Linked DNA regions of Xenopus tropicalis. The main gene of each other region encodes a partner of the protein of the gene in region 4 in a complex. Links are inferred from orthologs where the notes say so. Each region holds a gene or a part of one and is shown on either strand. Other genes may lie near its edges.

Region 1 (4,842 bases), on a different chromosome or scaffold from region 4:
GTCCCCCCAATGTTGCCCCCCGCGGTTCCTGCCTCCCTGGGGTACATGCACAGCCAATAGGAACTCACCTTTATAGATAAAAATGAGAGTCTCGATGATGAAGTAGGAAGCACAGTACCAGCCATTGAGGAAGAAGAGAACCTCCAGCGGCGTGGAAGAGAGCTGCTTGTGTTCAGGAAAAACTGTATAATGCGACTCATGCTACAATGTACCGAGTAATGTAATCCCACTCTGAGTATCACTCATGTATTATAGGGATACTGTACCCCCTACTGTAAATGATAAGGATATTAGCAGTCACTGAGGGGTTCTGTGCCCCCCATATAAAGGCACAAGGCTGCAGGCTGAGTTATACAGGGAACTCTGAGTATCACTCATGTATTATAAGGGATACTGTACCCCCTACTGTAAATGATAAGGATATTAGCAGTCACTGAGGGGTTCTGTGCCCCCCATATAAAGGCACAAGGCTGCAGGCTGAGTTATACAGGGAACTCTGAGTATCACTCATGTATTATAGGGATACTGTACCCCCTACTGTAAATGATAAGGATATTAGCAGTCACTGAGGGGTTCTGTGCCCCCCATATAAAGGCACAAGGCTGCAGGCTGAGTTATACAGGGAACTCTGAGTATCACTCATGTATTATAAGGGATAATGTACCCCCTACTGTAAATGATAAGGATATTAGCAGTCACTGAGGGGTTCTGTGCCCCCCATATAAAGGCACAAGGCTGCAGGCTGAGTTATACAGGGAACTCTGAGTATCACTCATGTATTATAAGGGATAATGTACCCCCTACTGTAAATGATAAGGATATTAGCAGTCACTGAGGGGTTCTGTGCCCCCCATATAAAGGCACAAGGCTGCAGGCTGAGTTATACAGGGAACTCTGAGTATCACTCATGTATTATAAGGGATAATGTACCCCCTACTGTAAATGATAAGGATATTAGCAGTCACTGAGGGGTTCTGTGCCCATATAAAGGCACAAGGCTGCAGGCTGAGTTATACAGGGAACTCTGAGTATCACTCATGTATTATAAGGGATAATGTACCCCCTACTGTAAATGATAAGGATATTAGCAGTCACTGAGGGGTTCTGTGCCCCCCATATAAAGGCACAAGGCTGCAGGCTGAGTTATACAGGGAACTCTGAGTATCACTCATGTATTATAAGGGATAATGTACCCCCTACTGTAAATGATAAGGATATTAGCAGTCACTGAGGGGTTCTGTGCCCCCCATATAAAGGCACAAGGCTGCAGGCTGAGTTATACAGGGAACTCTGAGTATCACTCATGTATTATAAGGGGTAATGTACCCCCATGAATTGTTAAAGGAATATAAGAAGCAGTGGGCGGGGCCAGGCTATACCTGTACAGGTGACTTGGTACCGTCTCACCTATGTAAGTGCCAAGGATACAACTCCGCGCCTTCTCCCTGGGAAGCAAACGCACAGTTAGGGGGCAGCACAAGTCACATGATACCAAGCAGAAGACCCAGTGGGGGCCGGGGGCCCCTCCCAGCACTCAGAGCAGCCATGTTTGGTCTCCCCCTGTAGGTGCCCATAATATACCCACATACCTGCCCGTAATATACCCACCCGCCTGCCCGTAATATATCCACCCGCCTGCCCGTAATATACCCACCCGCCTGCCCGTAATATTCCCACCCGCCTGCCCGTAATATACCCACCTGCCTGCCCGTAATATACCCACCTGCCCGTAATATACCCACCTGCCTGCCCATAATATACCCACCCGCCTGCCCGTAATATTCCCACCCGCCTGCCCGTAATATACCCACCCGCCTGCCCATAATATACCCACCCGCCTGCCCGTAATATTCCCACCCGCCTGCCCGTAATATACCCACCCGCCTGCCCATAATATACCCACATACCTGCCCGTAATATACCCACCCGCCTGCCCGTAATATACCCACCCGCCTGCCCGTAATATACCCACCCGCCTGCCCTCAATATACCCACCCGCCTGCCCGTAATATACCCACCGCTGCCCGTAATATTCCCACCCCCTGCCCGTAATATTACCCACCCGCCTGCCCGTAATATACCCACCCGCCTGCCCGTAATATACCCCAACCCGCCTGCCCGTAATATACCCACATACCTGCCCGTAATATACCCACCCGCCTGCCCGTAATATACCCACCCGCCTGCCCGTAATATACCCACCTGCCTGCCCGTAATATACCCACATACCTGCCCGTAATATACCCACCCGCCTGCCCGTAATATACCCACCCGCCTGCCCGTAATATACCCACATACCTGCCCGTAATATACCAACCCGCCTGCCCGTAATATACCCACCCGCCTGCCCGTAATATACCCACCCGCCTGCCGTAATATACCCACATACCTGCCCGTAATATACCCACCCGCCTGCCCGTAATATTCCCACCCGCCTGCCCGTAATATACCCACCCGCCTGCCCGTAATATACCCACCCGCCTGCCCGTAATATACCCACATACCTGCCCGTAATATACCCACCCGCCTGCCCGTAATATACCCACCTGCCCATAATATACCCACCTGCCCATAATATACCCACTTACCTGCCCATAATATACCCACCTGCCCATAATATACCCACCTGCCCGGGGAATGTGCGCTATTGTGGGTAACAGGGAGAAGTCGCTGCTTCTCTGGGGATGCCGGGAATTGTGGTCTAACAGCCCCCCCCCCCCCCCCCCAGTTGTAGTTGCACACTAGCGGTGCGGGTCCCTATGCAGCAGGTAAGGGGACAGCGTAGCGGCATCGGGTGCAGGGGATGCTGGGAGTTGTAGTCCCGCTGATCAGCTGCACCTCTTGCATAGGGGACACAGTAGCCCCACGCTTACAGGCGCCATTACAGGGAGCAGGGGGGCCGCTCTTCCATCCGCTGCTTCGCCTCCCGCTTACCTTTGGGCGCCATCTTGCTGCTCTAAGGACGCCTGTGACGTCACTCCCTGGAAACCTCCGCAACACGTGACCCCCTGAGCCGCCTGTGCGCCGCGGGGTCCTAGCGCCTTCCCCCCTAACATTCAGGGCCACTAAATAACTGGGACTGGCTGGGCTTCTGGGAACTGTTCAATGGAGAGTGTACCTGCAGCCAAATTAGATTGCTAGCTCCTCTGCCCAGGGAGACAGTAGGGCAAGATGGAGACAGTAGGGCAAGATGGGGACAGTAGGGCAAGATGGGGACAGTAGGGCAAGATGGGGACAGTAGGGCAAGATGGAGACAGTAGGGCAAGATGGGGACAGTAGGGCAAGATGGGGACAGTAGGGCAAGATGGGGACAGTAGGGCAAGATGGAGACAGTAGGGCAAGATGGGGACAGTAGGGCAAGATGGAGACAGTAGGGCAAGATGGAGACAGTAGGGCAAGATGGAGACAGTAGGGCAAGATGGAGACAACCCTTTATAACACTGAAGAGGTTATTCCAAACACAAGAGGCAGTATGAGCACTAATGACTGCACGGGGGGCAGTAGAGGAGCGAGGGTGGGAGAGTTGGGGGCCGATGCTGCTGTCTCTCAGTAGTGATGCGCAGTCGTTATTAATTGGGGCTGAGATGCGAGACCCTCGCTTCAAGAGCCGGATGTTCCCACCCACGGTTTCCTCGTCTCACTGCTACTCACCTAATTATGTTACTCACAGTTACTTCATTATAGAACCCATAGCCCAATAAAGGGTCAACTTCCCCTTTATATTTACTTTTAGTAACACATGGGCGGAGTTACAGGTCACTGATCCCCACCGTGATCCCCACCCTTTTCCCACCCTGTTTCCTTCTTGATCCCCACCTTGATCCCCACCCTGATCCCCACCCTTTTCCCACCCTGATCCCACCATTTTCCCACCCTGATCCCCACCCTTTTCCCACCCTGTTTCCTTCTTGATCCCCACCTTGATCCTCACCCTGATCCCACCCTTTTCCCACCCTGATCCCCACCTTGATCCCACCCTGATCCCACCCTTTTTCCACCCTGATCCCACCATTTTCCCACCCTGATCCCCACCCTTTTCCCACCCTGTTTCCTTCTTGATCCCCACCTTGATCCCCACCTTGATCCCACCCTGATCCCACCCTTTTTCCACCCTGATCCCCACCCTTTTCCCACCCTGATCCCCACCCTTTTCCCACCCTGATCCCCACCCTTTTCCCACCCTGTTTCCTTCTTGATCCCCACCTTGATCCCCACCCTGATCCCACCCTTTTCCCACCCTGATCCCCACCCTTTTCCCACCCTGTTTCCTTCTTGATCCCCACCCTGATCCCCACCCTGATCCCCACCCTTTTCCCACCCTGTTTCCTTCTTGATCCCCACCTTGATCCCCACCCTGATCCCACCCTTTTCCCACCCTGATCCCCACCCTTTTCCCACCCTGTTTCCTTCTTAATCCCCACCCTGATCCCCACCTTGATCCCACCCTTTTCCCACCTTGATCCCCACCTTGATCCCCACCCTGATCCCACCCTGATCCCCACCCTGATCCCCACCCTGATCCCCACCCTGATCCCACCCTGATCCCCACCCTGATCCCACCCTGATCCCCACCCTGATCCCCACCCTGATCCCACCTTGATCCCCACCCTGATCCCCACCCTGATCCCCACCCTGATCCCACCCTTTTCCCACCTTGATCCCCACCCTGATCCCACCCTGATCCCCACCCTGATCCCCACCCTGATCCCCACCCTTTTCCCACCCTGATCCCACCCTGATCCCCACCCTGATCCCACCCTTTTCCCACCTTGATCCCCACCCTGATCCCCACCCTGATCCCCACCCTGATCCCACCCTGATCCCCACTCTGATCCCCACCCT
Region 2 (4,213 bases), on a different chromosome or scaffold from region 4:
TTATCACTTCAATTAAACATTATATTAACCGTGAAGTAAGAATTTTAATACCTAGATTAACCAAGCTAAAGATCAAAATGAAAAATAAAATTAGAATAAAATACAAATTAAACCAGCGACTACTTTCTACTTTGCTCTTTTTCTACTGTTCACTAGCAGGGGGCAAACATAAGGTATGTTTCCAATAGTAGCTTGGTGCATTTATTGCCCAATATATAGGTAAGAGGTACAGTTTTTATTCCTGACCCATTATCCACCAGATACAGAACATATGATTCTCTGCACAGGTAGAATACAAAGGATGGTTGTGCAAACAATACAGGGCAAAGAGGTGCTGGTGTATACCTACCCAATCAGAGTAACATAAGACTTTCCACAAACTACTTGAAAACAATTAATACTTCTTGTGCTCTTGAACAGTAGGCAGGTGGCAATGATTAGTGGATTTTTTTTTTTTTTTTGGCCTGTGTCAAGTAGCAGCAGGCAAAACCACAAGAACTGACCTTTGCTTTGTAATTCTCAAAAACAACAAAATGAAAGTTTATCGTGACTTTTAATTATTAAAGGACTAAATATTTATACTTTTTAACTGTTCCTCAGCGTATAAACCCCATTGAAGTGTGCTGAGTTAGAACACACTTGTGAATATTCCCGAAACAAAGGCTAAAAGCCAACTACCAAATGATTTTTAATGTGATATGTTTCTCTTTTGAAATTAAGTTCATGCATGAACTACAAAGAGCTCCCAGTTATTGGCAAGAATCTAATCCCCAGTCTCATTAATAGGAAATTAATTAAGTTAAACTTCAGCTGATTAATATAGAAATGTACCTTAGACAAGTTACAGATACTCCTGCATAATAAGTACCATGTCTGATACAACAGATAATTTGAGGGGCACGGCCAGTGGAGAGGGCCCAAACTCCAGGATAATGCCTTCTTAAGTGTTTATGTTAAGTTGCAAACTTCATGACTAGTTAACAACAGGCTGTATTTGAAGTTATCACTAATGAACCTTATAAATCAGCCCAAACACATTCTAAATTTGTTCGTATGCAGGTCTGGTGACTGGTGGCACACTTTATGACTAAATGTAAGTTGGTCTGCTCATGCTGCTCGAACAACCTCAACCTTTCTGAGAAAGCTTTTTATTAGATATTGGAACCCTGTTGGTATGATTTGTTGCAGTTTAGCCACAAGGACATAGTAAGGTTGGATGCTGATATTGTGGTCTCAGGTCTAGCTTGCAGTTGGGTTGGGGTCAGTGTTCTGTTCTGGCCAGCCATGTTCATCCACTCCCAACTAGGCAAACCCAAACTGTACCCACCTAGTTTGTGGACTGGGGTCATGGAATGCTTATTAATGCTATTGTGTGCTGTAGCCTTAATGAAGGTTTCCAACGGAACCAAGGGCTCTAGCCCCAACCATGAAAGACAGTTCCAGACCAATATTCCTCTCCAATAATGTTTACAGTACATACATCATCTATTAATCTATTATCTTATTAATAGTCTTTAAAAAAAATCCATAGATTTACAATATACCTGTTGCTGTTTTTCCTTAAGTGCTACTTGGTTTTTCAGACGTTCCACAAGATTCTTCATAGTTGATGTTGGAGCTCGGGTATTCGCCTCTTTTTGAGCCTCCAGTTCAGTGTTAAGATAATTAATTTCTTTCTCTGTTTCAGCAATACGAGCTCTTAAATCTTCAGCATCGTTCTTCAGTTTTTTAATCTCCACAATGTGCTTCTCTTCAAGCCTGTTATTTATACATAAAATAGATATATTGATAGAACAATATAACATAAGTTAAGCAACTTATCACCGATTTCAAGTAACAAATTTCAAGTAACCTTTTTCACCGGCTACGTAACCAACATGAGAAACAGGTTCAAAAACTTCATAATTATGTATAATGTTTCTCTGTCTCTAGTAGCTACATTTATTTAGTATCTGTATTTATTAACCACAGTAGCTCTGGTTATGCAAAAGCACAATTCACTAATAAAAAATCATTTTAAAGGCTTAATCTTGAAAAAAATGTAAAAAAAGGTTTTGATGGAATTCTTTAAAACTACTTGAGACCGCAGATATCTGCAGAAAAGCAGAAAAGGCTGACTGCTACAGTATTTTCTTGTAGCCTAAAAAAAAAAATTCAAGGCTCATTTTCTGTAGAACAATAAAGTCGTAAGGCCACAAGCTGTAGGTCTATTCTATGTTTAGAATCTAGTTTACACAAAATTGATCCCTTTAAATCTAGTTTGTTACACGTCAAACAAAACAAATATTAATAAAACATATATTGTATTGATAAGTGATAAAAGTAAGGTCAAACCTGCACTGACTGCTCACACCACATTTGCTGAAAGGACTGCTGTATATTTTCTAAAAAATTTACAGAATTAATACGATATAGACCTGGTTTTGCTGTTTTCAAATTCATTGACTTTTGCTATCGTGATCTGTTTCTGCTTCTCCAGCTCCGATGTTGCTTTCCTCAGCTGGTTGGACAGGGAAGCCAGTGAGTTTTCTTGTTCAGCAACTGTCTGTTCCATTTCAGCCAAACGAATTAAATTTGCACTTGATGGAATTTGGAGTGAAGGTTTTTTCATGAACTCCTACAATGTACAACAGCAGAAGGTATGAAGGTTATGGGGTCTTAATGGCCTTAAAGAGGTTGGGTCGGCTGACTTTACTGTTAATAGTTAATACTTTATACATAATACAAGTCAAAAGAATCCAATACTTCTAGAGAAAACATAGAGAGTCATAGTGATTACCACTGTTTACCACTGCAGAGAATATTAAAATAAAACATCTATCTAACCATTAACCAAAATCAAACTCTGAAAAGATTAAAATTTCAGTGAATTAACTTAGTTTTGATCTTTAAATATAAATATATATATATATATATATTAAATAATGTACCCTCTATCGTATATTATTATGTGATATTATAAGTCACAGAGGAGTGTCATGACCTTATAAAATCACAAAGCGAAGGCCGGTTAACCTCATATTTTACAACAGGGGGTACATTATTTATTATAATACACAATTTTCAGTGAGTCATGTGACGGAAATTACATCACTAAGCTCATTTATAAGCTCCAATTATAAAGATACAATTTACAGGATATTCATGACTCTTGTGTATTATATCAGGATATATGATCACTTTATTGCAACCAAATTTCATCAAGATTTAAAAGTAATAATGCATTTTACTATTTTTTTTATTTTTGATAGATATAAACTTTTATCTGTGTGTTGCAATTATAGATATATGACATCCTAATGTTAAACAGAATTGAAAATATATATAATAAGTGCCATTGCTTATATTTTACATTATAACAGAACATTTGAAAACTTTTAAATCTGAATTCTGTTAAGATAAGTACAAGACTAAAAAAAAGGAAAAATACACTGTCTCTTTTTGAAAAAAAAAACATTAAAATACTTACTTTAGCAGCTTCTTTAAAATTGTTAATGGAAGTATCTGAATAGAAATTCAGTTTATGATGCAATTCTTTAAGGTCTTCTGCATGCTTCTTTGTAACTTCTTCTTGCTCCTAATGTAAAAATTTAAAAAAAAATATTCTAATATTATATAAATAGAACATTTTATTAAACTAATATACTACCATAATACTGAGCAGGACATGATGAAGCTCTGAAAGTATGAGAGAAGTATTGCTACTGCCTTTACTGCTGGACCTCAGTATACATTTAACACTGAATGCTGAAGTAGGTGAGTCTACTCTAGTCAAGACTTGCTAAAAAGCCTAAAGCTGGACATACCCTAATAGATCTGCTTGTTTAACAATGTTGAAAAAATGAGTTAAATCATGCTGATCCAGTTGTTTGACGCAAGGACTACATAAAAAGTTATACATTTCTGTCTATTTAGATTTGTATTTATTTATTTTACAGAGGGGTGCACAGGATTTAAAGAAATGTGTTTCTCTGTAAAATCTTCATTGGACCCAAAGTCAAAACAAGTGTGGGAGTAACTCTCCGTCCTAATCCAAAGTAAGGTACCTGACTTCACATTTGTTTGAGATGACCACATGCCGTACTAGCTTTCAAAACAGTATAAATGTATAATGTACAGTAAACAGTACAAAATTTACAATGCTTAAAGTAAAAAAATTTCTACGAATTAAGGTTCATAATATGTTAATATTAATAATAATATAAGATCATAT
Region 3 (4,213 bases), on a different chromosome or scaffold from region 4:
TAACCCCTCCAAATAAAAGTCTGGTTTATAACTGCCCAAGTCAGAACACAATCATATTGACATAATTCCACCAGGGTGCCACCAGGATTGGGATCATCTGATGACCCCCCCTCCTGTCCACTATGCTTCCACAAGCAGATTTTAAAGCACAACTATCTCCAACGGCTTTGGTATGGCTACAGAACCTTTTTCATGGATTTAAAAGGAACACCTAAATGATTATGTAATTGCTTCATAAAAACTAAGTGTTGTAATGCAGAGTAAAGTACTTACTTTGAACAAAATGAGCCAATAAAACCCTGTGCCAACTGTCACGAGAAAAAACACATCTGCCAAGGCCCCAGCATAGAATATTAAAAAGTGAATCACGGTCTGGAATTAAAATGAATCCGCATGAATAATACTTCATCATTATTATCATTTTTATACAGCGCCCTGTACACTCATTTGTAACAAGGGGTCTTATAATAATTTAAGAAACAAGGATTACAGAATTAAAAATAGGATCAGAGGGCCTACTCGCAAGAGATTACAGTACGATAAAATTATAATTAAAATCAGGGGAACATTTTTGAATACTGAATACTGTTCTTTCTTGAGCAATGCACCTAAACAAGGTTGACCAGACCACTTGAATATTCAGGGACATGTCTAAAAAATCCAGCTAGCTAGGCTGAACTGCAGTTTATTGCAACATGTATTTATTAAAAGCGTCCCTAAATTTTCAAGTGATCCGGTCACGCTAACCTAAACACTACTAACATATGGGCCTAAGGTAGTTTTGTAGGGCTGTTATATTTAGGATACCCCGGTAGTGTAAGAAGACTCTAGTCCTTCAAGACCTCCCTCCAAACTGAGATATAGTAATTGGATTACCCCTACCAACAAGACCACCCCTGATGTGTGCACCAATCAGATAATTTAAATAGAATTCTGGGTAAGTGGATAAAGATCCATATTTAATGTACATAAGGATAGATATGAGGAATAAGGTCTCATACAGGGTGATACATGCTTTCCACAAAGCACACCAATAACACCAGATGATGACTGAAGGTTACCCAGACCCTGCATATGGGAGGAAGATGATTTATTAACTCAGCAAAAGAAAATGTATCACTCACCTGCATGTCAATAAATGAGCTCCCAATTCTTCTCTTCCAAGCTGCAGTTTTCAGAAGAGACCAAAGTACAGCCAGGCCTCCTAGCACCCCTATCGCCACCTAACATACCAAGAGAGGGGTTAATCAACACCACGATGATACATAGAACAATAGGTAATATAAACAAGGAAGACTTACATCAGTTTTTTTCAACGAGTCCAACTGTCTCATTTCATAATTTACTGAAAAGGAAACCTATAACCGGAAACAATAAAGAACATCATGAAAAGTAGCACTATGATACAAGAGATAACCACACCATTGATTTCCAAGAAAAAAATCCTTTGGTAGGTTCATTTAAGCAGAGTTTATCTATGTAGACATCATCTTTCTAGTTATAAAACTTCATCACCTTAACTAAGTACTAATAATAAATCAGGTGCAGGACTGTAAGCTGACATATTCTAGTAGGAAGTGGGAAGGGGGGGGGAGATCTAACTTTAATATACTGTATGGGGTTGGCCTGTGCATGGCTACCTTAAGGCTGTTTTGTTGGAGAAAGGATGTCGCCCATATGGCACTGGGTTACACAAGATTGAAAGCAGTCAGTGGTGCTGTTGCTTTAAAGGCAAAGTGGTGGCAGAGTCACTTCCAATTTTCATAACCAGGCCCCCTATATGGCCATAAACTGCGAACTCAGTCTTGTGTATGGCCACGTTTACACACATTATTTCAGTTGCTATATAAGCCAGAACAGCAGGAGAGCTTGTTCATTAGAAGAGGTTCATTGGGAAGAAGACTGACAACTCAGCTTATAAGGGAATTGCCAAAAAGGAAAGGAATAGTGGGAAAAGGAATTGATCAAAACATCTACTTGTTAGCAGCCTTGTGTGCTTTTGATCTCTACCTGATGCACAATCTTACCTTGACAATTTGGGACTCTGGATTTTGCAGCTGTACATCTGTGTATTGCACAGTCATGAGAGGTGGGTAAATTATTCCCTTGTAAGTGTCTGGTACAAGTCTAATGCTGTAAAAAATGAACATATAGTCAGTGTTTTGCTCCCAAATAGAGTGCAAAGAGTTGCATCTGACAGCAAACCTTATGCTCCTAGGTACATCTTTCGCCTGCTATTTAAAACAGAGGTGCACAAGGGTCGTCCATGGGCATCCACACCCCCTACTTGCACCTGCTCGGCCTGGCACAAGGCATTTTGCCCAAGTGCTTCATTTATGAAGCTCTATGACGTTCAATAAGTGCTCAAGCACTAGTGCTGTACCAGTAGTAAATTACCTTTAGAGTGCTTGATTCAATAATGTACTTCCAACACTGGTGTCCTGATCTTGATTCTGAACTAAGCACTATCCAAAAGAGTCTGAATGTTAGTAGGCTAATTAATTGGCTCTGCAATAAGTAAGCAGTCTCTGTAAAGCCCTGCATAAACTTGTAAGCATTCTACAAATAAAGCATAATAACAATAATTCAAATAAATTAACCATGATACTAATACTTTTTTTTATACTCTCTCTTGTACTATCTTCAAGCTTATAAAAATGTAATGCGCAATAACATGACAAACTTGTGCTAAAATTTGTGCTATTGTGCTAAAATTTACACTCTACCTGATTGTGATTTTGCTAGCCACTCTAATGAGCCTTGGAGGATCGGCCAGAGAATTTTCTCGCCCACTAATAGTATCCACCAGGAAGATTCGGCGAGTCAAGAGCCAGTTGTTGATGTTGTCTCCTGTAACAAGACAAATTATGTTTAGTGAAGGGGAAGTAAAATTCTACGCCAATAGTGCCCCAACCTGAAGCCCTAGCTGAACTAAAAGTTCCACTACCCCCCCCAAGAGTGTCACTGTTTGGAATTCCTAGTGCTGTTTATCTGCCTACTACCGAAAGAGAAGTGGCAAAACACCAGCCTTTTGTAAAAATATGAGACACATTCAAATAAACAAAGTGCAAGGTTGACACAACAGTAATATTGGTGATAAAAATGTTTGCCAAGGGTTGTCAAATCAACACTATAACTGGCTGTAAGCTAGTATAATGTGGACTGCTAGGCTATCTTTGTGTCTATAACACTGGTGCATCACAGACATCCTGCAGTACCATCAGGACTGCATTGGCTTTAAGCAACACCATCCCATGGGACAGTAAGCCGCTAATTTTGGATCAAAAAATTATACCTTGTTAAATTACATATTATGTAATTTTGATACTGGTTAAAAAATACAACACATATTTTAAAATGTGCAGTTTAAACAGTGTAATTAGAAATAAGAAGTACACCATAAAAATCATGACAAAATCCCTTTAAAGGGATCCCATCTAATTGAACTGGTTTATGTATAATCACATACATCAATCATATAAATGTCCATAGAATGTACCTTGGTTAACAAACATTTCATGGTACTGGAGGTTCAGGTTCAGGACTGGCACAGGAAGGAGATTCTGCTGCTTCTCATTCCCTGGGTAGGCCAGATACACATCATAGAACACAGGCTCGGGGTGGTCACGCAGGAGCTTAGAAACACTAATTCTACACTGCAAAGGAATGATATGACCAAGTGAACACGGGTAGCAAAATATACTGTGTGTGTATGTGTAGTTATGTATCTCTTTGTGGGCACACAGGAACACACACACATAAATACACATACTGCCCAGTTGCAATGTACTGTACATGCAAGTATAAATAAGGATTAGGTGTCCAAACTGGTTTCCACTGAAAGCCATTGCTACAGTACATTCCAAAAGAAGATACATTGGTAAAGTGGCAGCTCCTTATTCTTTACTTTCAGCTGGATCCTAATTAGAAACATCTCACTAAACAAACAGGACATAAAACTGCTTAAAGGGGCACTATGCCTAAATACACTTTTTTTCAACATAAGCCAACTAAGGCCAATGACAGACGAGGATAAATCTCCTCTAGCGGCAGCGACTAATCTCGTTTAACTTAATGAAGTTATATATTTGCCTTTTCTTTCAATTATTGTTAATTATGAAGCACATATAGATTATTTTGTTTTTATGCATCGCTTCGGCTTTCCGAAGTCACAGAATATACAAGTTCCAATGAGTCGTGTGAGAGAAATTAC
Region 4 (4,879 bases):
TCATCTGCTTGAAAATCAGATGATGTTTTAGGTTACATTCATATAAAAATATAGCAAATGTTAAAGGGTTCACAAACTTTCAAGCACCACTGTGCATATACTCTTCTGTACTCACACTGAGCTGGTAGGAGAATGTCAGAATGAGCTGCACACCATAAATATTATCAGTGGGTTGCAGAGGAAGCTCCAGCTGGAAGTTCAATAAATCCATTTTACCATCTTGATTTCTGTCTTCCTCTCTTGCCTGTAAATAAACACCATAATGTAAGCAATAACAATGCCTTGCTAAGCTACTGAAACCTCTAAATAATTCTCCTGCTTAACTAAAATTACAGAACAACAAATCCTAAACTCAAATTTTGTTTTATGAGAAACATATGTATGAAACAGTGAACTCTAACTTTCATACATTGATAAATATGTTAAAAAAAAAACTTAAAGAAAAAAATTGAAATATTCTGTTTACTCAAGTATTCATTAAAGGTGATTTCTTTTTTTTTTTTCCTTTTACTGGGAAAAGGATGGTTGCAACTGTAGAATGCAGTTGGCCTTACAGAAACATGAAGCACAATCCCTCCCATATCAGATGTTCTATGTAATATGTAAGCACAACGTAATGATGCATGAGACACCACTAAGGAATGAGCCATTGTAGCTAGTTAATAATTGATTATCAAACCAACAACATAAACAAGGGCCTTTTATATATAAGGAATAGAAGCTGAAACTGTACAAAGGTGCCTATACGAATGCTATAAAAACATATGTCAGAAGTGCATTTATGCAATAATGTGACATCATTATTATGCACATCATCCATGACACTTACCATATCAGTACATAGGAACAGAAAATATTACAAAAAAGATTATCATGCATCTGGATAGTCCCACAAAGTTTTAAATCTTTCTGATATTGATTTTCCTTTCCCTAAAGCCTGAAGCATTACAGATTCACATTGGTCCTTGTGCTGCTGAGGGTCTTAGGGTGTGTGGATAAATATAGGTGCTATGCAGATGTACATAATGTTTTATATGTTAATTAAATCTAATTTTGGACCAAATGTTGTTTTTTTTTTAACTTGGACAATTAGTATTCCAAGTTAAATCAGACAGACAAATTTACTGCCAACTGTTTATGGGTATCTACTTGTCAATTTAGTGGTAATCACCTATAAAAACACCCACATTGCTGGGCTCAATACTTATTAATGCATGATGTATATACAGGTAAGGGACCTATTATCCAAAATGCTCGGGACCTGGGGTTTTCCGGATCTTTCCATAGTTTGGATCTCCATAACTTAAGTCTGCTAAAAATCCTTTAAATATTGAATAAACCCAATAGGATTGTTTTACCTCCAATAAGGCTTAATTACAGAGAAAAAGGAAATCATTTTTAAAAATTAGAATTATTTGCTTATAATGGAGTCTATGGGAGGTGACCTTTACATAATTTTGAACTTTCTGGATAAGGGGATCCCATATCTGTACTGCACAGCCAATGCAATGTATTCCACATGCATGTGCAGAAACCATTGAAGTCTGCAGCATGCAAGTGAACTGAATACCAATTAGGCATTCCTTTGGCGAGCTACTGTTTCTGGCACCAAAGCTAAAGTTAATAAATAACTGGGGTTTTTATAATCAGACCCAAAATATGACAAATTGTTTAGTGTCCAGTCATTATTTTTAGAAAGAAGGGAAACCTCGTGTTCAAGGTAGATAATTCTAAATAGAACCTGTAGCAGCAGATTTATTAATGTGTGACATTAGAGCACACTACTGACTGGGGTTTTCCCTAAATGTTTTGCTGCCAGGAGGGATGGGCAGGAAAAGAAAATCTTGGTAAGTATGAATTTATTATCTCTTTTATCAGTGACCTGTGGGACATATAGAGACATATTTCCTGAACATCATCTGGCAGCATAACATTTGGGTTTTTCCCTAAATGTTACGCTACGAAGAGGGATGGCCAGGAAAAGAAAATCTTGATAAGTATAAATTGATTTTCTCTTTTATCAATGGGTGAGTTCATTTGATAAATACGTTTCTAAAAATCCCATAGTAAATCAATCAGGGTTCATCATAACAAACGTAAATCTACTATTCATAATTGTTCTCCTTGAACAGCTACTAACAGTGCAGTAGGTGAAAAACAAACCTTTTTTATATCAGCTTGGTACTTTTAAATAGTATCAGCTTGGTACTTTTAAATAGTACACCAAAAATAATTAATACTGTAGTTGCTGCCATTTCTCTGATTCTGTTGAGAAATGTATCATTTAGTGTAGCAAATGTAAAACACCAGGTAATTTAAAAAAATTATATTTCTGGCATACTATTTAAAAACAACTAAACTGAAAAAAAATGTTTGGAAATGAACTGCCCCCTGTGATCAGAGAATAAGACTTACGGATATATGGGGCAATCTAAGTTTGTCTCCTACTAAGTTATTAAATCCCGGATATGTGCTCCAAGCCAGATAATTTCCAGTGGTGCTACTCAAAGCAATTAACAAGACATCGTATTGGAAGCGGACATTGGGCTGTTCTTCATAGGTACTTGTTTTTAACCAGAACCCTGTAAAGACATATGGTGAAATTAAAAGAAATATAAAGTACAGTGCCTGCATGGAAATGTTTCTGCAAGAAATCAAAGTCTTACCATAGCTGCGAAATGCAACCAGTAAGGGAGGGATGTAGGTGAGTAACAGGACTATAAGTAAAAACAGCGTGGCTTTGGAACAGATGCTGGATCTGTATCTAAGGAGTGCTGGGTGAGAGTAAACTTCATACAGAGCCATGGCTTGGGCTTGCTAAGAACTCACTAAAGTGAAAAATAAGCTCACAAACGTTATGCCGCTTTAAAATAAAATTTGTGTTCCCTTTACACTTCTGTAAGTTTCTGTAGTTCTCCGATGCAACAGGTATTTTCGTCTTCTCATGTCCCGTTCAGCGATAGATATAAACAAGAGCTGCCGAGCAGAAAGAACTATGGCTGATTCTGTATGTGCATTTTGGTCTTTCTATAATGCCCAGCTAAACTCTCCTGTTTCAGCGCACCCACCAGCAGCAACCAGAGACACAAACTCCCGGACAGACTCCCGCCTTCCCTTTCTAATACTAAGGCAGAACCGCACTAGAACTGAAGGAACATTCGCGCCCACCAAGGCTTCTGTCTCCATAAGCAATGTAGCTATGGCAACAGACGCCAGCGCCCGGAAGCATTTCGGAGACACCGGAAGTGACTGGTAGCTCTTTCGTGATATGGAAAAGTGTCTACGTATTGTGTGTGATAATTGTTCCTTTATTGGATATCACGATTTCCGTTTAAACTGGCAGCAAACTCAATTGTTAAACCTATATATGAGATCCAAGCAGGGAGAATGTAATAAATGACAGAATGTCTTCAGTAACTATCAGATATTTGTTTTCAAACATCTTATGAGTTAAGGCTACCTGGTGGCTGGCACTTTGAAGAGCAATCCTGCAACATGCATTTATTAGAAAATGCACCCGGTTATCAGGTGATCTGGTAATCATGTGTAAAGGTGGCCATACACATGCCGATTTTAGCTCCCTTTGACCATTCAGCAGCTTATCGGCAAGTGTAGGGGCACCAACGACGGGCTAGCCCGACCGACATTAAAGGTGGCCATACACGTGGCGATCTGATGATGTTTCGTACGACCATCGGTCGCACGAAACATCGTAAGATCCGCCACACACCATTCAGGGCTGAATCGGCAGGTAAGGAGGTAGAAACAATAGGATTTCTACCTCCTTCTGCCGATTCAGCTCTGAAAGGAGAATTTTGGTCAGGCGCCTTCTATGGCGCCCGATCAAAATTTTCAAACTGGTCCGATCGGCGAGTCGTCCAATATCAGCGGTCGACATCGGTCGACTCGCCGACATGCCATACATGCACCGATTATCGGACGAAACAAGGTTTCGTACGATAATATCAGTGCGTGTATGGCCACCTTTAGCCTGAAATCTCCCAGATATTGGTCGGGCAGGTTAAAAATTTAGTCGGAATTGATGCAGTCCCCGAACTGACTGCGCCCATTACCGTCATTCGATCTTTTCGCCCCAGAGCCAAACGACCGAATTAGCCTAAATTCGCCCGATATCGCCCACCCGTAGATGGGGTAATCGGGAAAAGATCCGCTCGCTTGGCAACCTCGCCAAGTGAATGGGTCTTAACGTGTATGGGCACCTTAAGTTGCATGTATTAAAATGCTGTAAAGAAAGCACTTGCATGTAATCCAACCATGCCAGAAAACCTTTTGTGCCTGTAACTGCAACATTCTGCAGCGATTTCTGGTGGCCCCAAGGATATTGGAATTGTGGAAACAAAAGTGATGATTTGTGGGAAAAAACATGGCAGCTGCTGAAAAAAATCTATGTTCGAATGTTGTCATATAATATATAGCCACATCCTACAACTGTGTTACAGTAAAACTTTTATGGCTAGGTAGGCCAAAGGGGTGAAAATATATATATATTTTTTTACACTTTACAGCAGGGGTCCTCAAACTTTTTAGACAGGGGGCCAGTTTGGTCTCTCAGACTGTTGGGGGGCCAGACTATAGTCCTCAAACTAGCCCCACCTTCCCCCGTGTCCTCAAACTACAGCCCACTCTTGCTGCCTGCTCCTCGCTCCCTGTTGCGGGGTCAAACTATGGTCCGCTCCTGCGTCCTCCCACTCCCTGCTCCCCCAACTCCCTGCTCTGTCCTCTCTCTCCCAGCTCCCCCGCTCCCCACTGTGTCCTCCTGGTCCCTGCTCCTCCGCTGCATCCTCACCCCTGGCAGCAGGGTAAATTACCTTGGGGGGTCCAGATCCGGGCTGCGGGCCGTAGTTTGAGGATCCCTGCT
Region 5 (4,213 bases), on a different chromosome or scaffold from region 4:
GATTAGCTGGCTGTTGAGAAATGAAGCCACCTGTGTGACCCAAAAAACCCAGCTTATTGTTGTTATTCTGCTGTCTCCCCCATTCTAGTGTGAACAAACATAAAAACAATGTTTTTTTTGGATTTGTCAGTAGTTGCCATATTGTGGAGATAGCACCTCTAGGCAACCTAGAGCAGTGGCTGGGCGCCCAGCTTGAAGGCCAGTTAGGGTGAGCAGCGCTGTTTAGCAATCAGGCAAGGTGAGAAATGGCACCCCTGTTATGAGAATGAACTTCCATTTTTTAGAAATTCAACTCCTTTAGTTCATCTTTATAAAGAGAATGCAACTGCACTCTGTACTAACAATGCAGCTCCCCCTCAACCCACTAAAGGTGGGTTTAAATCATGAGGGCGCGATTGGTCTGCTCCTGTGGAGTGCCTATTTGCTCTTCTCTCTGCTCTAAGGTATGGCATGTCTGATATCCAAGATCAATGTATTAAACAACTAATGTGAGAGCAAAGCATGCAGACTAGACTCAATTCAGCATATTATGTCAAAAAAATATGCACTCTGCTATATGTATCCCTTGATTCCAAACAACACAGCAGCAGTAGAAATCACCAGTTAGTGTACAATACCGCATTATGTATATGCAAGGTACGGCATGAAAGGTAAAAACATCCAGGAAAGAAATTTATGTAAATTAAAATGATGTATTTTAGGATCTGGGTGAACCACGCTGTTCCCAGGATCTGAAAACCGCACACTTCACTCATGGTGAAAAATGTTCAACTTCTGTGTTTATGTGGCAAAAATTCACATGATTTTAACGATTTGGTTTGGCTGAATCCAGCTGAAAAAGGCAGAATCTTGGCCGAATCCTGGATTCGGTGCATCCCTAGTGTATAAAAGCCTGGGTAACCTTCTCCTCTGTATGGAGACACAACTTTTAACAACTAACATGGGTTATTAGAAGCTATACATGTCCCTTTCATTTATACTAAATAATTAAATTTAAAACAATAATTGTCTCACCTGGTTTCCAGAATTTGGTGTCTGCACAAAAAAAACAAAACAAAATATTTAAATGTAGTATTTTTAAACCTTCAAGAGGTAATATAAAAATTCCACCCTGAGATATAATGAAAGCATGGAGCACAACTGTGGCTCTTATAACATTAAATTAAGAAGCTAAGATTAAGACATTTTAGACTTTACCAGATAGAGACAGAGTCCTAACAAGCAGGATAGCCAGAATGCCTGCATCCAGTACTTACAGCTATAATTCTAATGGCCAGGATAGCCAGAATGCCTGCATCCAGTACTTACAGCTATAATTCTAATGGCCAGGATAGCCAGAATGCCTGCAGCCAGTACTTACAGCTATAATTCTAATGGGCAGGATAGCCAGAATGCCTGCAGCCCTTACTTACAGCTATAATTCTAATGGGCAGGATAGCCAGAATGCCTGCAGCCAGTACTTACAGCTATAATTCTAATGGGCAGGATAGCCAGAATGCCTGCAGCCAGTACTTACAGCCAGAATTCTAATGGGCAGGATAGCCAGAATGCCTGCAGCCAGTACTTACAGCTATAATTCTAATGGGCAGGATAGCCAGAATGCCTGCAGCCAGTACTTACAGCTATAATTCTAATGGGCAGGATAGCCAGAATGCCTGCAGCCAGTACTTACAGCCAGAATTCTAATGGGCAGGATAGCCAGAATGCCTGCAGCCAGTACTTACAGCTATAATTCTAATGGGCACGATAGCCAGAATGCCTGCAGCCAGTACTTACAGCTATAATTCTAATGGGCAGGATAGCCAGAATGCCTGCAGCCAGTACTTACAGCTATAATTCTAATGGGCATGATAGCCAGAATGCCTGCAGCCAGTACTTACAGCTATAATTCTAATGGGCAGGATAGCCAGAATGCCTGCAGCCAGTACTTACAGCTATAATTCTAATGGGCAGGATAGCCAGAATGCCTGCAGCCAGTACTTACAGCTATAATTCTAATGGGCAGGATAGCCAGAATGCCTGCAGCCAGTACTTACAGCTATAATTCTAATGGGCAGGATAGCCAGAATGCCTGCAGCCAGTACTTACAGCTATAATTCTAATGGGCAGGATAGCCAGAATGCCTGCAGCCAGTACTTACAGCTATAATTCTAATGGGCAGGATAGCCAGAATGCCTGCAACCAGTAGTTACAACTATAATTCTAATGGGCAGGATAGCCAGAATGCCTGCAGCCAGTACTTACAGCTATAATTCTAATGGGCAGGATAGCCAGAATGCCTGCAGCCAGTACTTACAGCTATAATTCTAATGGGCAGGATAGCCAGAATGCCTGCAGCCAGTACTTACAGCTATAATTCTAATGGGCAGGATAGCCAGAATGCCTGCAGCCAGTACTTACAGCTATAATTCTAATGGGCAGGATAGCCAGAATGCCTGCAGCCAGTACTTACAGCTATAATTCTAATGGGCAGGATAGCCAGAATGCCTGCAACCAGTAGTTACAACTATAATTCTAATGGGCAGGATAGCCAGAATGCCTGCAGCCAGTACTTACAGCTATAATTCTAATGGGCAGGATAGCCAGAATGCCTGCAGCCAGTACTTACAGCTATAATTCTAATGGGCAGGATAGCCAGAATGCCTGCAACCAGTAGTTACAACTATAATTCTAATGGGCAGGATAGCCAGAATGCCTGCACCCAGTACTTACAGCTATAATTCTAATGGGCAGGATAGCCAGAATGCCTGCAGCCAGTACTTACAGCTATAATTCTAATGGGCAGGATAGCCAGAATGCCTGCACCCAGAACTTACAGCTATAATTCTAATGGGCAGGATAACCAGAATGCCTGCACCCAGAACTTACAGCTATAATTCTAATGGGCAGGATAGCCAGAATGCCTGCAGCCAGTACTTACAGCTATAATTCTAATGGGCAGGATAGCCAGAATGCCTGCAGCCAGTACTTACAGCTATAATTCTAATGGGCAGGATAGCCAGAATGCCTGCAACCAGTAGTTACAACTATATTTCTAATGGGCAGGATAGCCAGAATGCCTGCAGCCAGCACTTACAGCTATAATTCTAATGGGCAGGATAGCCAGAATGCCTGCAGCCAGTACTTACAGCTATAATTCTAATGGGCAGGATAGCCAGAATGCCTGCAGCCAGTACTTACAGCTATAATTCTAATGGGCAGGATAGCCAGAATGCCTGCAGCCAGTACTTACAGCTATAATTCTAATGGGCAGGATAGCCAGAATGCCTGCAGCCAGTACTTACAGCTATAATTCTAATGGGCAGGATAGCCAGAATGCCTGCAGCCAGTACTTACAGCTATAATTCTAATGGGCAGGATAGCCAGAATACCTGCAACCAGTAGTTACAGCTATAATTCTAATGGGCAGGATAGCCAGAATGCCTGCAGCCAGTACTTACAGCTATAATTCTAATGGGCAGGATAGCCAGAATGCCTGCAGCCAGTACTTACAGCTATAATCCTCACATCTGTGTAAGTGGCAAGAGTCAATGCAGGCACTGAACAATTGTTTAGTGATACGTTCCAAGTACACGTAGAATCCTGGCTTACTAGGAAACCTATAAAGAAACAAACAGATAAAGGTCATGTAAATATAAGCTAGAAAATTATTGTAGTTTAGCAACTGCAATCTGAAGACCTATGTTAATGAAACCTGTCCATTCAGGACCAGAACAGATTTACTGTAGGAATACCTTGGGAAACTTTAACTGATCATTGGCAGTTGCTGATGGTTGCATGCATTTATGCCTGGTATGTATGAATGTATATAGTGCAACTTATGTACACAGTGCTGTAAGTTATACATTTAAAATCAAGCAGCTTTTTGACCAAAGTATAGATGAAATAACAGGTTATGAGGAAACAGGCTATCTAATACACTCTCCGCAGACAGTAAGGATTCTTACCCACAGGGTTACGATCTGTACATTCTTTAGTACCAAGTGGAGCAGGAAGGGATAGGTACGCACTGGCAGTTAAGAGAGGAGACCCATACTGTTAAAAAGGGACAAATATCTAAATAAACAATTACAATAAAACTATGTATACAAAATACAAAAACAGTTCAATACAGTAGCAATACATCAAATATAATATATCACTGACAGGGACTAATTCACCATCATAAACTAACCCTGCTGGCAATGGAAAGAAAACCAACATCATGGTGAGA
Region 6 (4,805 bases), on a different chromosome or scaffold from region 4:
TCATCAGCAAAAAATAGAAACAGTACTGTCTATGCCCACCTCCAGGTCATTAATAAACAAGTTAAAAAGCAAAGGCCCAAGGACTGACCCCTGCGGTACTCCACTAACCACACTGGTCCAATTAGAAAATGTTCCATTTACAACCACTCTTTGTACTCTATCCTTCAGCCAGTTCTCTATCCAATTACAAATATTATGTTCTAGGCCAATATTCCTTAATTTGATCATTAACCTTCTGTGAGGTACTGTATCAAACGCTTTAGCAAAGTCCAAGTAGATGACATCAACTGCCATTCCAGCATCGAGGTTCCCACTCACCTCCTCATAAAAGGCGACTAAATTAGTCTGGCAAGATCTGTTACGCATAAAACCATGCTGGCACAAACTAATAGTATTGTGAACTGCAATGTATTCAAGTACCCTATCTTTCTTTTGGTCTCTATCTGTACCTGTCAGTAACAGTGCACTCTCTCAAAAGAATGCTCTTTTACAAGGAAATGGGCAGAGACAAATGGAGAGATCTGATAAGAAATGCATACTGAGCATGCAGAATAAATCACTCAATGAGAAAGGGGTAAAATGGGGCAAACAGTTATCTTGTGAAGCAACAGACAGGATCTTTTAAAGACACTAAAATAACAGCATATGTTCCGCAAAAATTGGCTCATTACCAGCTTGTCTTGCAGTAAAGCAGCTTTAGCAATCTTTTATAACAAAAATACTAATGTATTTCTTGCATGAATTGGATCAACGACACCTTTTCAGATAGGGATATCCTAAATAAATTCTTCTGCGTTCATGTATCCAAGTATCTCCCTACTTCTTTTAAAATGTAATTAAATATTTTGGCCACTATGTCTGTCATAAAAGTGAATGCGTTTCGTCTGACGCTGCCATTCAAAGTTTCCAGCATTTTAAAAGCTGGGTTCTTTTTGGTTTAAAGGCTTTACATTTGGGGGTGTGACTACAAAGTGGGAGCAGACAAACGCATTTTCAGCATGGCCATGCTAATTCTCATTACACCCCCCTCAGCCACTAACTTGCTGAACTTTAAATGGACGCTAATATGTCTCTTGTATACGTAATGCCTCAGAACCCGACACGACACGACGCCCTATATCTGTTTAAGCAACGTTCCATTACACTATGTTGTATTATAAATCACAGATTGCAGTATTAATAGCTATCGTTTAATCCCAATACTTCGTCTCCCACAGACTATCAGTCTCGATCAGTTTACACATTTCGCCTACAACAGACGTCACTTCCGCCGGTGAACCAATCAGATCTGCTGTATGCAACGGTTGCACAGCAACAGGCGGAGTCTACCAAAGTGAGAATTAGAAGGGGCAAAAAGCTAAGACAAGGAGCCGGTTTTCAGAGGGGGTCCGGTGAGATTTATGTTGCAGTTGTGCGGTTAGGGGAAGCATTTATAGCGGGATGTAAAAGAGGGCGAAAAATATTTAGAGCTAATAAACTGGTAAAGCGCTTACATCTTACCCTACTGCGGTGTTATATACGCAAAGGTAGATATGATTCGCAGGTTGTCGGTATGGAGTCCTGATGATTTTGCACCATCATCCAAATATGTATCGTCAGTAATTTATATGCTCATAGCACACACAATGGCGCCAGTGTAGGGAGTGTAATGGGGGTATTACGTTTTCCAGCAGCTGATAGTTGACAAACAGAGGCTCTTGGCTGATTCTGTAAGTGTAAGCTGTAGGGCCCTCAGTTTAGGGATTCTATTTGTTGATTCTATAGTGCCTTCACTGTCAGTGTTCTATGTAGTTATGAAATTCACTGTACATGAATAGCCACACTCATGAATTACATTACAGCCCAACTTGTGCAGGTATAAGTAGGTTTTTTTTGCTTGATGTTGGTCATTGACCTGGTTAGTTACATATGTAATACACTATGCGGTAATGACAAATAAAATTATGCTTTCAAATTGGTTTTATTGGATGTGTAATGAACAGTTTGGTTATGACATGCCACGTCTTACAGGGCTTATTGCTGGGGGTTAGCTACATATACTAATAATATACGTAGTAATAACACTGCGCTAAAAGTAGGTAATAAATAAAATGTATATGTAATACTAATGTTCCTTCTAAGCTATGCATTTGTGGATATTTAAATTACGATGTCAGGGCACATGCATTAGAACCGCCCTTTTACATTATTGAGGCCACTAGAAAATAATGGGGGATGTCATATCCTTGAAATGTATTAATCATTATATTTTGGAGGGACCACAAAATAAAAAAACCTAAGTAAGGGATGAAAAATAAAGTTTTACTGTAATAAATTGTGGTGCGCAAAAAGAATTTTGTATGTAAAGGCATAATTTAGAATTTTTTTAGACTTGCGCATAGTTTTTATAAAAGTGCTCAAATAGGTTTAGGAAGTAGGCACAAAAGAAAGTTTTTGCACACACAGCCAAGAAAAAAAGGAAAACTTGGTCACTGAGGCTTGTATATTTATATTGGCGTCAGATGGTATAAGAAGTGTAATTTCTAGCTGTTATTGTTTGTTGGACCTACTTCTAATAAAAATTATAATTTAGTTTCTTCACAATAATGATGTAACTGAAATATATTTTACCTTTCCTCCTACAGTAATGGCAGAGGTTCACATCATAGGGCAAATTATTGGGGCTAGTGGCTTCCCCCAACACAGCCTGTTTTGCAAATGGGGAGTACACACAGGTAAGAGTCATCATTTTGCATTTTAAATGGATCTATATATCAATTGTACATAAAAAAAACACAGTTTTGTTTTTTTGTGGAGCTGTACGCTGTTGAAAATGTGGTATATGCATTCAGTTGGCCCCACTTTTATTCTAGTACAGGTATGGGATTCCTTATACGGAAACCCGTTATCCAGAAAGTTCTGAATTATGGAATGCCCGTCTCCCATAGACTCCATTTTAATCAAATAATTCAGAATTTTAAAACAGATTTCCTTTTTCGCTGTAGTAATAAAACAATACCTTGTAATTGATCCCAACTAAGATATAAATAATCCTTATTGGATGCAAAACAATCCCATAGGGTTTAATTAATGTTTTATTGATTCTTTAGTAGATTTAAGCTATGGAGATCCAAATTACCCTTGGTCCCGAGCATTCTGAATAATGGGTCCTATACCTGTAATATATTTTTAAGTTTGTGATGTGAAGAAGAAATATATGCGTCAGGTGACCCCTGTATTTATTCTAGTAATGTGAAGTGAAGGAGAAGGCTGTGTTTGTATAACTTAAAGCCCATTTTTGGCTTTACTTTACATAAACAATATAAAAGAGTCTTAAAGGAAATGTTAATGTTTTGAGAAAATCTTGATATATAAGATACTGGTGTGGCTCTATCTATTATTAACCATATGATATTTCTATTTGTAATAACATCGTTCCCTACCATAACATTTAGGTGGAGCCTGGAAGCTACTTTCTGGGGTTGTGGAAGGCCAGACACAAGTAGATCATCCACAAAATGATGACATGGCATTCTGGTCTCACCCTATTGACATGCACTTTGCTACTAAAGGATTACAAGGTAAAGTATGATAGAATAAAGAATAAAATAAAGAATCTGTTAAAATTATTGTAATCACATTGGAGCCCCTGCACAGGCTCCCAACCCTAACCCTACCCATTCAAATGAACACACTTTACCTACCAAAGGTGCAAAGTACATTATGTACTTTAAATGCTTGTATTTCCCCCACTTAGGTTGGCCAAAACTTCACCTTCAAGTCTGGCATCAGGACACATTTGGTCGTAATGAACTTTATGGTTACAGCTTCCTCCACATCCCTTCCACCCCTGGTACTCACTCATTGCTTAGCCCAACCTGGCGACCCCTGGGAACATGGCAGGAGCAAATATGTCAGATGTTTGTTGGCGGCGGCCCACAACTTAAGTCATCCAGCCTGATTTATGGAGGGTCTGATCGCTACCGTCTGCAAACAGTGGCCATGGGGCAAGTACATCTCCAATTAACGGTCATACTCAGGAACTTTGAACGATACGGGGTGGAGTGTTCTTGATTTTGCAGAGTGCTAAGAACTTGTTCCTGGTTTTCCAAATGATTATTTTTGGTGCCAAGGACATATGCACTGAAATAATCAGCAAGACATTTTATGGAATTACTTGTGAACACCTCAAACAGAATCCTGCTCAGTATTTAATGAGCCCCTTTTCTCAACCCTTCTTAATAAACCTGATACTTCATATCTCTTCTGTACCATAATCTGGTAACATTTATCCTCCTCCCCTTCTACTAACATCTCTTACACTTTCCCAAATTGTCTGTTACTTCTGATATTAGCCATTTTCCTCATTGTATCACTTTTTTACTATCCTTGCTTTGTTTTCAGCCCTGTTATAAAGCACACTCCCTTTCTCTCCTTTCATTTTCATAATACCTCATTCACATCAATCACTTACCAGAATACATTTATATATAAAGTAAATTGAATGTTTTTGTTTTTAAATACTTTTCAGGCTCTTTTGACGATTATCTTAAATCAGTTATAATGTGAATGTGATTCCAATGTCTCTGCTGTCAGCTGTGCTATATAAACCATGCACAGAAAATTGCCCTGTTTGACATAGGTTAGTTATCTGAGAAATTGTAAAATGTGCCTGCTCTTACTAAATGGTTTTTACTGCAAATATGTTTTTTAGATAAAACTATATTTTAAGAAAAAGAAATGGTAAGCGAGTATTCTTTGCTGTAGGAAATAATGTTGCAATTTGTAAGCCACAAGAAGGCTCTGTAGGTAACTAGAATTATGCT
Region 7 (4,213 bases), on a different chromosome or scaffold from region 4:
GTATCAGAATAGCACTCAATAGTAAGAAATCCAAGTCCGGCTTGGGACTCCTCCAGTTACATGGGAGAAGGAGAAACAATAGGTCAGCTGAAAGCAGTTCTAATGTGTAGCGCTGGCTGAAAGCTCAGACTCAGGCACACTTTACTGCTGCGCTGCAAGTTGGAGTGATATCCCCCCCTCACCCCCAGCAGCCGATCAGCAGAACAATGGGAAGGGAGCAAGATAGCAGCTCCCAGTAGGTATCAGAATAGCACTCAATAGTAAGAAATCCAAGTCCGGCTTGGGACTCCTCCAGTTACATGGGAGTAGGAGAAACAATAGGTTAGCTGAAAGCAGTTCTAATGTGTAGCGCTGGCTGAAAGCTCAGACTCAGGCACACTTTACTGCTGCGCTGCAAGTTGGAGTGATATCCCCCCCCATAAAAATCATGACAGTAAGGCGACTTTCCATGTAGGGCAGGCTGGGACTTACTCTGTATCCCGGGATGAATACTGTTGCGGTGTGAAGTCGATGGGTAAGCAGGCAAGGACATTATTATCCTAATAAGACAAAATTGAGATATTATCAGTTTCCATGCTAGCAGGGACAGATTGGTGATGAGTGGGGCCTGGCAGCAGCATTCCAGTCTCTCATTCAAACCACTGCCTGGTTCCTAGGGTAATCTGTACCCTAGCAACAGATACATGCTGAAAGTCTGCTGAACAAAAACCTAAACCATTCAAAAACCACAGGAAATAAAAAAAAAGTGAAGACCAATTGCAAATTGTCTCAGAATATCAGGCTCCATGTCATATTTAAAGTTAGTTTTAAGGTGAACTACCCCTTTAAAGGGCACTGAGGTGTTCATTACATTGGCCAAACCCCAGCTTGGGTGCTGCTTACCCTTGACCAGAAGATGATGATGACGATGACCAGATGAGCCGTGAGTGTGAGGAAGCGAGAGGGCACCAGGCTGCTGATGGCGGACATGATAAAACCTGCAGAAGGGAAAATAAAAGAGAAAAAATGGGAAGGGGCCCACCGGTACGTGAGGGAAGGGGCCCACCGGTACGTGAGGGAAGGGGCCCACCGGTACGTGAGGGAAGGGGCCCACCGGTACGTGAGGGAAGGAGCCCACCGGTACGTGAGGGAAGGGGCCCACAGGTACGTGAGGGAAGGAGCCCACCGGTACGTGAGGGAAGGGGCCCACCGGTACGTGAGGGAAGGGGCCCACCGGTACGTGAGGGAAGGAGCCCACCGGTACGTGAGGGAAGGGGCCCACCGGTACGTGAGGGAAGGGGCCCACCGGTAAGTGAGGGAAGGAGCCCACCGGTACGTGAGGGAAGGGGCCCACCGGTACGTGAGGGAAGGGGCCCACCGGTACGTGGCTTCCCTGACTCCTATTACAGTATATACAGGCCGGCAACCCTCTCATATAATATATACAGGCTTCCCTGACTCCTATTACTGTATATACAGGTGGGTAACCCTCTCATATAATATATACAGGCTTCCCTGACTCCTATTACTGTATATACAGGCCGGCAACCCTCTCATATAATATATACAGGCTTCCCTGACTCCTATTACTGTATATACAGGCCGGTAACCCTCTCATGTAATATATACAGGCTTCCCTGACTCCTATTGCTGTATATACAGGCCAGGGACCCTCTCATATAATATATACAGGCTTCCCTGACCCCTATTACTGTATATACAGGCCGGCAACCCTCTCATATAATATATACAGGCTTCCCTGACTCCTATTACTGTATATACAGGCCAGGGACCCTCTCATATAATATATACAGGCTTCCCTGACTCCTATTACTGTATATACAGGCCGGTAACCCTCTCATATAATATATCCAGGCTTCCCTGACTCCTATTACTGTATATACAGGCCGGCAACCCTCTCATATAATATATACAGGCTTCCCTGACTCCTATTACTGTATATACAGGCCGGTAACCCTCTCATATAATATATACAGGCTTCCCTGACTCCTATTACTGTATATACAGGCCGGTAACCCTCTCATATAATATATCCAGGCTTCCCTGACTCCTATTACTGTATATACATGCCGGCAACCCTCTCATATAATATATACAGGCTTCCCTGACTCCTATTACTGTATATACAGGCCGGCAACCCTCTCATATAATATATCCAGGCTTCCCTGACTCCTATTACAGTATATACAGGCCGGCAACCCTCTCATATAATATATACAGGCTTCCCTGACTCCTATTACTGTATATACAGGCGGGTAACCCTCTCATATAATATATACAGGCTTCCCTGACTCCTATTACTGTATATACAGGCCGGCAACCCTCTCATATAATATATACAGGCTTCCCTGACTCCTATTACTGTATATACAGGCCGGTAACCCTCTCATATAATATATACAGGCTTCCCTGACTCCTATTACTGTATATACATGCCGGCAACCCTCTCATATAATATATACAGGCTTCCCTGACCCCTATTACTGTATATACAGGCCGGCAACCCTCTCATATAATATATACAGGCTTCCCTGACTCCTATTACTGTATATACAGGCCAGGGACCCTCTCATATAATATATACAGGCTTCCCTGACTCCTATTACTGTATATACAGGCCAGTAACCCTCTCATATAATATATCCAGGCTTCCCTGACTCCTATTACTGTATATACAGGCCGGCAACCCTCTCATATAATATATACAGGCTTCCCTGACTCCTATTACTGTATATACAGGCCGGTAACCCTCTCATATAATATATACAGGCTTCCCTGACTCCTATTACTGTATATACAGGCCGGCAACCCTCTCATATAATATATACAGGCTTCCCTGACTCCTATTACTGTATATACAGGCCGGTAACCCTCTCATATAATATATACAGGCTTCCCTGACTCCTATTACTGTATATACAGGCCGGTAACCCTCTCATATAATATATACAGGCTTCCCTGACTCCTATTACTGTATATACAGGCCGGTAACCCTCTCATATAATATATCCAGGCTTCCCTGACTCCTATTACTGTATATACAGGCCGGTAACCCTCTCATATAATATATCCAGGCTTCCCTGACTCCTATTACTGTATATACAGGCCGGTAACCCTCTCATATAATATATCCAGGCTTCCCTGACTCCTATTACTGTATATACAGGCCAGTAACCCTCTCATATAATATATCCAGGCTTCCCTGACTCCTATTACTGTATATACAGGCCGGCAACCCTCTCATATAATATATCCAGGCTTCCCTGACTCCTATTACTGTATATACAGGCCGGTAACCCTCTCATATAATATATCCAGGCTTCCCTAACTCCTATTACTGTATATACAGGCCAGGGACCCTCTCATATAATATATCCAGGCTTCCCTGACTCCTATTACTGTATATACAGGCCAGGGACCTTCTCATATAATATATCCAGGCTTCCCTGACTCCTATTACTGTATATACAGGCCGGCAACCCTCTCATATAATATATACAGGCTTCCCTGACTCCTATTACTGTATATACAGGCCGGCAACCCTCTCATATAATATATCCAGGCTTCCCTGACTCCTATTACTGTATATACAGGCCAGGGACCCTCTCATATAATATATCCAGGCTTCCCTGACTCCTATTACTGTATATACAGGCCGGTAACCCTCTCATATAATATATCCAGGCTTCCCTGACTCCTATTACTGTATATACAGGCCAGGGACCCTCTCATATAATATATACAGGCTTCCCTGACTCCTATTACTGTATATACAGGCCAGGGACCCTCTCATATAATATATAGTTACATAGTTACATAGTTACATAGGGTTGAAAAAAGACCTGTGTCCATCAAGTTCAACCCATCCAAGTAAACCCAGCACACCTAACCCACACCTACCAATCTATACTCACATACATAAACTATAAATACAACCACTAGTACTAACTGTAGATATTAGTATCACAATAGCCTTGGATATTCTGATTGATCAAGAACTCATCCAGGCCCCTCTTAAAGGCATTAACAGAATCTGCCATTACCACATCACTAGGAAGGGCATTCCATAACCTCACTGCCCTCACCGTGAAAAACCACCTACGCTGCTTCAAATGGAAGCTCCGTTCCTCTAATCTAAAGGGGTGACCTCTGGTGCGTTGATTGTTTTTATGGGAAAAAAGAACATCCCCCAACTGCCTATAATCCCCTCTAA

Evidence for each region.
Region 1: tmem231 (region 4) and tmem216 share a complex: the UniProt entries of both Homo sapiens proteins name them as parts of the tectonic-like complex. The link is inferred for Xenopus tropicalis from reciprocal best matches to the Homo sapiens genes TMEM231 and TMEM216.
Region 2: tmem231 (region 4) and cep290 share a complex: the UniProt entries of both Homo sapiens proteins name them as parts of the tectonic-like complex. The link is inferred for Xenopus tropicalis from reciprocal best matches to the Homo sapiens genes TMEM231 and CEP290.
Region 3: tmem231 (region 4) and tmem67 share a complex: the UniProt entries of both Homo sapiens proteins name them as parts of the tectonic-like complex. The link is inferred for Xenopus tropicalis from reciprocal best matches to the Homo sapiens genes TMEM231 and TMEM67.
Region 5: tmem231 (region 4) and tctn1 share a complex: the UniProt entries of both Homo sapiens proteins name them as parts of the tectonic-like complex. The link is inferred for Xenopus tropicalis from reciprocal best matches to the Homo sapiens genes TMEM231 and TCTN1.
Region 6: tmem231 (region 4) and b9d2 share a complex: the UniProt entries of both Homo sapiens proteins name them as parts of the tectonic-like complex. The link is inferred for Xenopus tropicalis from reciprocal best matches to the Homo sapiens genes TMEM231 and B9D2.
Region 7: tmem231 (region 4) and tmem107 share a complex: the UniProt entries of both Homo sapiens proteins name them as parts of the tectonic-like complex. The link is inferred for Xenopus tropicalis from reciprocal best matches to the Homo sapiens genes TMEM231 and TMEM107.

Annotation. Positions count from the first base shown.
Region 1 is NC_030678.2:178,905,395-178,910,236, reverse strand, and holds the start of tmem216 (transmembrane protein 216), read right to left. Parts: upstream 3,024-4,842; 5' UTR 2,948-3,023; coding exon 2,935-2,947; intron 1,446-2,934; coding exon 1,429-1,445; intron 163-1,428; coding exon 69-162; intron 1-68. UniProt on the Homo sapiens protein: Part of the tectonic-like complex which is required for tissue-specific ciliogenesis and may regulate ciliary membrane composition.
Region 2 is NC_030679.2:54,339,762-54,343,974, forward strand, and holds part of cep290 (centrosomal protein of 290 kDa), read right to left. Parts: intron 3,578-4,213; coding exon 3,470-3,577; intron 2,618-3,469; coding exon 2,418-2,617; intron 1,759-2,417; coding exon 1,545-1,758; intron 1-1,544. UniProt on the Homo sapiens protein: Involved in early and late steps in cilia formation. Its association with CCP110 is required for inhibition of primary cilia formation by CCP110.
Region 3 is NC_030682.2:127,749,943-127,754,155, reverse strand, and holds part of tmem67 (meckelin), read right to left. Parts: intron 3,657-4,213; coding exon 3,500-3,656; intron 2,851-3,499; coding exon 2,727-2,850; intron 2,134-2,726; coding exon 2,028-2,133; intron 1,359-2,027; coding exon 1,302-1,358; intron 1,224-1,301; coding exon 1,125-1,223; intron 373-1,124; coding exon 274-372; intron 1-273. UniProt on the Homo sapiens protein: Required for ciliary structure and function. Part of the tectonic-like complex which is required for tissue-specific ciliogenesis and may regulate ciliary membrane composition.
Region 4 is NC_030680.2:64,239,409-64,244,287, forward strand, and holds the start of tmem231 (transmembrane protein 231), read right to left. Parts: upstream 3,265-4,879; 5' UTR 2,806-3,264; coding exon 2,667-2,805; intron 2,583-2,666; coding exon 2,416-2,582; intron 245-2,415; coding exon 116-244; intron 1-115. UniProt on the Homo sapiens protein: Transmembrane component of the tectonic-like complex, a complex localized at the transition zone of primary cilia and acting as a barrier that prevents diffusion of transmembrane proteins between the cilia and plasma membranes.
Region 5 is NC_030677.2:162,894,990-162,899,202, reverse strand, and holds part of tctn1 (tectonic-1 precursor), read right to left. Parts: intron 4,036-4,213; coding exon 3,948-4,035; intron 3,600-3,947; coding exon 3,493-3,599; intron 1,036-3,492; coding exon 1,015-1,035; intron 1-1,014. UniProt on the Homo sapiens protein: Component of the tectonic-like complex, a complex localized at the transition zone of primary cilia and acting as a barrier that prevents diffusion of transmembrane proteins between the cilia and plasma membranes.
Region 6 is NC_030684.2:79,325,389-79,330,193, reverse strand, and holds the start of b9d2 (B9 domain-containing protein 2), read left to right. Parts: upstream 1-1,738; 5' UTR 1,739-1,809; coding exon 1,810-1,855; intron 1,856-2,624; coding exon 2,625-2,714; intron 2,715-3,434; coding exon 3,435-3,560; intron 3,561-3,736; coding exon 3,737-4,053; 3' UTR 4,054-4,805. UniProt on the Homo sapiens protein: Component of the tectonic-like complex, a complex localized at the transition zone of primary cilia and acting as a barrier that prevents diffusion of transmembrane proteins between the cilia and plasma membranes.
Region 7 is NC_030679.2:144,521,343-144,525,555, forward strand, and holds part of tmem107 (transmembrane protein 107), read right to left. Parts: intron 978-4,213; 5' UTR 970-977; coding exon 883-969; intron 540-882; coding exon 472-539; intron 1-471. UniProt on the Homo sapiens protein: Plays a role in cilia formation and embryonic patterning. Requires for normal Sonic hedgehog (Shh) signaling in the neural tube and acts in combination with GLI2 and GLI3 to pattern ventral and intermediate neuronal cell types.